Caenorhabditis elegans: one gene and its partner. The protein of the gene in region 2 purifies or fractionates together with the protein of the main gene of each other region. This does not show direct contact. Each region holds a gene or a part of one and is shown on either strand. Other genes may lie near its edges. The genes, in order: nola-3 and mrpl-40.

What was found.
Region 1: the proteins of mrpl-40 (region 2) and nola-3 fractionate together in Caenorhabditis elegans (co-fractionation; one large-scale study listed by BioGRID). This does not show direct contact.

Annotation. Positions count from the first base shown.
Region 1 is NC_003279.8:10,177,000-10,179,980, reverse strand, and holds nola-3 (Putative H/ACA ribonucleoprotein complex subunit 3), read right to left. Parts: upstream 940-2,981; coding exon 745-939; downstream 1-744. Other genes in the region: C25A1.20 (Proteasome assembly chaperone 3), read right to left, coding at 1-136; C25A1.16 (uncharacterized protein), read right to left, coding at 337-415, 463-614, 663-743; fath-1 (Fatty acid 2-hydroxylase), read right to left, coding at 1,407-1,471, 1,712-1,869, 1,918-2,304, 2,352-2,455, 2,504-2,638, 2,691-2,792. UniProt on the Caenorhabditis elegans protein: Required for ribosome biogenesis. Part of a complex which catalyzes pseudouridylation of rRNA. This involves the isomerization of uridine such that the ribose is subsequently attached to C5, instead of the normal N1.
Region 2 is NC_003281.10:85,621-89,911, forward strand, and holds mrpl-40 (Large ribosomal subunit protein mL40), read left to right. Parts: upstream 1-1,938; 5' UTR 1,939-1,943; coding exon 1,944-2,066; intron 2,067-2,144; coding exon 2,145-2,275; intron 2,276-2,318; coding exon 2,319-2,385; intron 2,386-2,427; coding exon 2,428-2,592; intron 2,593-3,448; coding exon 3,449-3,532; 3' UTR 3,533-3,623; downstream 3,624-4,291. Other genes in the region: attf-3 (C2H2-type domain-containing protein), read right to left, coding at 149-357, 407-527, 587-757; F54C4.4 (NAM-associated domain-containing protein), read right to left, coding at 1,160-1,276, 1,329-1,498, 1,567-1,639; Integrin-linked protein kinase homolog pat-4, read right to left, coding at 4,023-4,169.

The DNA of each region.
Region 1 (2,981 bases), on a different chromosome or scaffold from region 2:
GTGGCTGAATAACTTCGATTACTTGTCCGATTCTTCCTGTTGAATTGAAGTGCACAAGATCTTTGTCGGGATGCGAGGTTATCGAAAAGTGAATTGGTTCTCCGTTGAACTCGAAAGAAAAATCTTTGAAACTCATCAACCCTGTAAACCTGACAGAATCAAATTCGAAGAAATCTAATTTAAACCTGAAGTATTTGTAATGAGGATTCAACTTGCAATACAATTCCTCACTTTTTCAACATTTCATACTTTATTTGAGAGACAACAACAATGAGAAGAAAACAACAAGAATAGTACAAAAAGAATAAGAGAAAACGGTGGAAAAAAGACTAAAAGCTAGTCGTCAAGATCGTATTTCGAAACAATTGGGGGTTTGATGCGTAACTTGGGATCTCGTTGTCGTTCTAGGGCCTCTCTGAAACCATGAAAATATTATCAATGATTTTTTCAATTTACACAAACCTTCGATCTTTGCCTTCTTGTGGAGTTAAAAAGCGACCTTGCATAGTTTGCTCATCGACAGTCCAAAGGAACATATCGTTGAGAGTATAACCAAAAGCTTTCCATCCAACGAAGAAAAGAACAAAAGAGACGATGATACGACGACGAGACACCTGAAATTATAAAATATCGTTTGGAAAAATGCGAGATTTGTAAATTACCTGTTGATAATTGATAGGTTTATTGGGGGTGAAAGAGCGGATTTTTTGCCGCAACATGCGGCGCCACTCCCAAACCAGCATTTTAGCAAACGGTCTTTGCCTTCTGGGTTGGCAAGAGTCCGAAGCGCTTCTTGATGATGATGCGATATTTGGAGTTCTTGTCTTCCGGCGAAAAGCGAGCTGGATGAGCGGTAAGAGTTTGCTCTCCAGATGGAGCAGTTCTCTTCAAAGTGTACACTCTTTGTTGGTTCTCGTCCAAGAAGTATCTCAAGAACATTGTCCGTTGAAAGTAGACTGAGTTCTGAAACTATCAATGATTTCTAAAACTTCTGAAACTATAGAGAAATATGAAATAAATACGGCGCATTGCAACGAAAAAAAGAATTAGCGAGAAAGAATGAAGGGGTGATTTCATTAGATATTTTTAAAAATTATTCCAAATTTCACGCATAACAGAAAGAAAACAAAACAAGAAGGAATATCACAAAATGTTTGATGGAAACCGGTAAGAAGTGAGGATAATAGGCACGTGCTGAGTAGCTGATCTATATAGATAAAATGTGAAAACAAGTTGAACTAATCTGGCGTACGAGAAAAGAAAAGGTAAATCGATAAATATATATGTACAACGGGTATAGTGGATCGTGAGAAAAGTGAATCGGGACAAGAGACTTAGAGATAAAAAACGTGAGGCAGAGTTCACTCAATAAACAACAAATTTTCCGAAAAAACATCTATGTATTATTATAATGGGCCCATTCCGAGTGTGTGGAAAACATAATCCCAAAGAGAAGTCGAAATTCCGAAGCCTGAAAAATGAAAATAGGCCTGAAATAGGGAAAATGATAGAAAAATTTCGATTGCGAAAATGAAAGTGCAAACGCGCTCCATCGCAAATCTGTGTAATTTTCCGTCAGAGAACATTATATTTCACGACAATTTGCAGATTATAGAAAATCTCAATTAAAAAACAGTTTTTAATGTTCTTGACTTAAAAATAACAAATTAAAAATTGATTTTTAAACAAAATCCCGTTAAATGTAACTTACCGACGTCAAAGTTTTTGAAGTGGTGATTATGATGATATACTTTTCTAAAATGTAAATTGCTGCGTGGACGAGGACTTCCGTGATGTAAATAATAGTGTACCATATCGTAGGTTACATATCCAAATAACTTTCCAGCGCCAAACGCGCAAAACACTGGCCTAAAACGATTAACTGAATATGGGAACCAGGAAAGGTTTAATACTGACCATTGGAAGGTATTGGAGTAGATTAAATAGAAAATTCCAACAATCAAAGTAGCTGGAACCGGAGGGAACACAAGGCGGTCTCCGTCCATCGGTGTTTTATGGTGAAGTCCATGAGCCAAGAAATGAAGAAGAATCTGATTCGGCGAATCTGGAGACGGCTTCCAATGGAAAACCCATCGATGAAGACTGTATTCAGTGAGAGTCCATGTCAAAACTCCAATGACGAACCAGGCAGACCACAGGAGAATCGAGTTATAAACATCGGTGGATGTTGAAAATGAGAGCACTGAGAGGATAGAAAAAGTAATGACGATCGGCATCCAAACAGCAGGGACCACCCACCAAGCTGTTCTTGTCATGCTTTCCAACACATCCGAATCGAAAAGTCTGAAAAAAAGTGAAAATTTGCATTGAAAAGTCGAGATCATCAATACCTTAAAGTTCCATCATATGGTTGATGAATCCAATGCCAATATTCAGAGCCAAGAGATCCAACTTTGAAAAGCATTCCGGATTTAGACTCAATCAATGGATCACCCTAGAATTTTAGAAATATTAATAATTAGATTTGATGGAAGGAACGAACTTTTTGAATTGCATTCACATTATATCTCTCGAGCATATTATAAGCGGCTTCCGAGTGCTCATGACGTACACCCATTATCCTTTTTTCTCCTCTGATAAATTCTCCAATTTCTTCTCCAGCCAAACGATTCAGAACCTATAAAAAGTTTGAGATTAGTAAAATATCCTAAAACTTGAAAAAAAGTTACCTTGGCACCTCCCGGATGTTTAGGCGCAAAATCAGCAATGTCATAATATTGCCCGTCGAGTTGTACTAGCAACGGCTTCTTCTCATCTGCTCCTATCCCCATATTTTCCACTGAAATATAGAAAATTATAAATTACGAAACGTTATAAATATAGAAAATATGAAACGGGGAAAGCAATATGATCATGATCTCATAGTAGAAAAATAAGTAGCAAAAGGAAATGAGCACATTCACCAGAAAACGTCATTTTCCGGTCAAGAAAAGCAGCCATATGAATTGAGGTTAGGGTAT
Region 2 (4,291 bases):
AATAATTAGCAGTCCAAAGTTGGGTCTGCTAAATATTTAGCAGACCATTTTTGGGTATGCTAAATATATATTCTCGTCCATTTTCATCAGTTTTGGCTCAATTTTCACGAAAATTTTTCTCGAAATTTACAAATTTTCCTCGATTTACCGAATCCAACATAGGACTATCGTCATTTTCCTCGTCTTCCTCATGATCAATAACCACTTCTTGGCCGACAATCATGGAATTTCCGTCTAAATTCATGTCCGAGCCGCCCATCAGCTGATAATTGGCTCCACGGCGAACATAATCCCCAAGGGAAGTCTCTTCGTCAATAATTCCGAGTCCGTGAAGGCGAGAAGCTTCTTTATCGGTTCCTGGAAGCAAAAAATCGTTTTTTCACAGATTTTTTAAAAGATTTATTACTTATTGCCGAATCATCCACACATTCCACTATCGTTTTCGGACGTTTTCGACCGCCGAGAAGCTGTTTTGTGGTGACTCGTTGCAGTGGAACCGGAGAATCTTCGTATTTTTTCGGTCGGCCCTGGAAAAAATTAAATTTTTTTTCGTTTTTCAATCAGAATCTTGAAATATCCGCCTTACCCTTGGTTTTTTATCATCTTCCTGACCTTCTGGCCGTGGATGTCTGTGTCTTTTGTGTGCACTGAGACTTCGATCGGATTTCCCGACGTATTCGCATAAATTGCACTGAAAATCGATATTTGTCGGCACATTCACCACGTCCACATCGTCCTGCTCATCGTTTTTCATCATTTTTTAGCTGAAAAATAACATTTTTCAATTTATTTCGTTAATTTCTTTGCATTTTTCCATTTAAATTCGAAAGCGAAGACGAGAGAGCATGCAAAAACGAGAGAGCGGGAGAGAAAAAGAAAAGGATAAACAATGTTTTCGGCGGCATTCGGAGCGTCGTCAGACGCGCGCTGCGAGACCCAACAGACGGGAAATGTCATGCGCCTTTGATTTTACAATTTATTTCGGCTATTTATTGCGGTTTTTTTGCAGTTTTTCGCTCAATTTTCTTCTAAAATTTGAATAATACATGATAAAAAAAAAATACATAATTTATTTCGACAGCGATTGATACATAATTTCACAAATTTACATGGATTTTTGCCACAAAATTAAAAAAAAAATAAAATAAAGAAAGCACATTTAAAGTTTATTCATTTGCTTCTCCAAATGTTCCATATCCCGCGCATCGGCTGACTTTGTGATTCTATCGAAAATAAGCTTCTGCGTCTCCTCTAACATCTTGAGTTGCTCTTTATTCTGTAAAAAATCGGCTTTTAGGTTGGAAATTTTATTTTTCTAAAAAACGTACGCTTTTCATACTGGTAGCTTGAGATAATCGGCTCTTCATGCTGCTCAGAAACTCGTCAAAGTCCGATTTGGCGGGTTTCTTGTGAATTCCAGAGTTTTTGACTTTTGGAATGGCGTTTTTCGGTTTTTTCGACGCTTTTTCGGTTTTCGATGCACTACAGTTGCTATTTGCTGAAAAAAAATTCGATTTTATTTGAAAAAAAACCTGAATTTTAATAAAAATTTGATAAAAAACTCACAATTGGCAGAAATCCCTGAAGAACTCTGCTCAGCAGCCATCATGGTCTCCTCGTCTTCGAAAATGGTTTCCATAGTGTTTTAGCTGCCAAATCCTTATTAAAACTCAAAAATTGTCAATAAAAACGCGGAAAATTGTCCGAAAATCGATTAGGGACGACGAGAGAGTGTGGGGAAGTGAGAGACGGAGCTTGTGTAGATTTACGGTGAACAACGCGTGGGGGTGGGATAGCGGAGTGTCGTTTGGGAATTTATTTTATTAAATTTTTATTGTTTTTGTTGATTTTTAGGAGGTTTCCTTGGTTTTTTCGACTATTTTCTTCAGAATTTTGATGATTTTGATGTAAAATCACTTCAAATTCCAATTTTTCCAGGTAAAATGAGCTCCAGCCTGCTTGCGAGCCTCTCCCGGCTCTCCCTACTTCAAACCCGCCAAATTCATCAAACAATTCCCGCCGGCTCCTCGGTTTTTATGAAAAGACAGAAGAAAATTGATCCGGAGGTAGAGAAAATTACAGTTACTCATTGAATAAAACGGGAAATTTAATAAAAATTGAGAAAAAATTCAAAAATTTTCCAGGTAGCAAAGCAGCGAGAGACCCGACGCAGAAAACGGCTGGAAAAGGATATTCGTCAGATGCAAAAGCACTCGAAAAAGCCGAAACCAGTGGATGAGCTCACTTTGGACGTGAAATCCGCGAAAAATATCGGGTTTTTCAGCGATTTTCTGCCTAAAAACTCGGAATTCTTACAGAGAACGCCGCCGCCCACGCACCGAGCTCACCTTGGAGCAAATTGACGAACGAGCCATCGCTCTGAAGGTAAAAATCTGAGAATTTCGCTTCAAATCCGTGGATTTTCAGGATTATACACGCTCCCGGTTGGCTTTGCAGCAGGAGGATGACGCGTGGATTCGTGGAGCCATCGAATCGCAGAGAAAAGCTCTAAATGAGCTGAAAATGCTCAAATTGGAGCTCTACGAGGCGGCTGTACAGCCAGCAGCCAAGGATTTACCGCTTATTGTTCAGGTAGCGGAGAAATTGAAGAAAAATGGTCAAAAAATTGATGAAAAACCCGAAAAACTCACGAAAATTCATTAAAATCTTAAAAATTGCTAGAAATTCGGAAAAATGCCCAAAATTTTAGAAAATGTTTAAATATTCCTGAGAAAATGTCAAAAATACCGAAATTTATTAGTAAAATCTTGAAAATTTTGCCAAAAATCTGGAAAAACCTGGAATTTTCGACTTTTTTTTTCTAAAAGTTTCAAAATTCCCAAATAATCATTCAAAAAAAAAAACTTTCTAAAAAATCTCTAAAATTTTTGCGGAAATTTTGAAAAAATTCACTAAAAAATTGAAATATCCCCGGAAATTTCGAGAAAATCCAAAAATTTCGGAAAATACACAAAAATACCGGTTTTTGCTGAAAAAGCACAGAAGTTTTGCGACAAAACCTTTAAAAATCTGTAAAATCCCCCAAAAATTTTCAAATTTTTTCTCGAAAAATTGCAAAAAATGTAAAAATTCCCCCAAATAATCCGAAAATCCAAAAAAATTACCTAAAAATCGGGAAAATTTTGAAAAATCCCTGAAAATTGTCGTAAAAATACCAAAAATTTCGCTAAAAATCTGAAAAATTGCTAGAAATTCGAAAAAAAATGCTTAAAATTTCAGAAAATGTTAAAAATTCCCAAAAAACATGTAAAATCTTGAGAAAATGTCAAAAATACCGAAATTTATTAGAAAAATCTGAAAACTCACTGACATTTTGCGAAAAATTCCGAAAATTGGTTAAAAAATTTTTTTAAAAAACCTGGAATTTTCCAAATTTTTTTTTCTAAAAATTAAAAAATTCCGAAAAATCCTTTAAAATTTCTTACAGGGACCCTCACTGACTCCGCCCATTCGAAACTACGAGGCTCCGGACGGCGACTACATTGATACTACGAGAAATTGGGCATCTTAGAGCCGAAAATTGTTGATTTTTATGTGTTTTATGGGTATTTTTGTTGTAGACAGTGACATAGGATGACGCATTAATAAAGGAATTATCGATTTTTATGGAAAAAACTAAAAATTTCAGTGAAACCGAGCTGGAAAAAATAAATTTGCCACTGCGGGGATCGAACCCAGGCCCTGTGATTGGCGGGCGAGGTCACTAGCCACTAGGCTACACGTGCAAATTTTTGGCAACTGATTATTTGGATACATGAAACTTACTGCAGCGAACTTTTTTGTCGAAGAGTGTTTGCGTACAGTAATCCTTACATTTCATAAGATTTTATTGATTTTTTCATAAATTGAGCAATTTTTTTTGACAGTTTAACATTTAAAATTAATATATAGACGGAAAATGCGATGGGGCTGGACAAGGAGCAGGCACTTTTGATGTAAAGCTTTGATAAATTGAATTTTAAAAAAATTGTTGAAAACATTAGAAAAGCAAAATCGATAAATCATAATATCATTCTCTCTAAAATCGGAATGATTTGATCAAAGTTTGGCCGACGTCCCGGGTCCTCGTTCATGCAAATGTTCATCAAACGGTTCATATTACGGGCGATTCCAGGGGGAATGTGCACTCGGAGACCTTCCAGAGCGATCTGAAATTAATAAATTTGGATTCAGCGTGAAATTTGGGTCTGGAAACGCTGATTTTGGAGGTGTAAGGGGTACTGTAACCCTAAAAGTACGCAAACACTGAATCTGACGACGACTTGCAGAA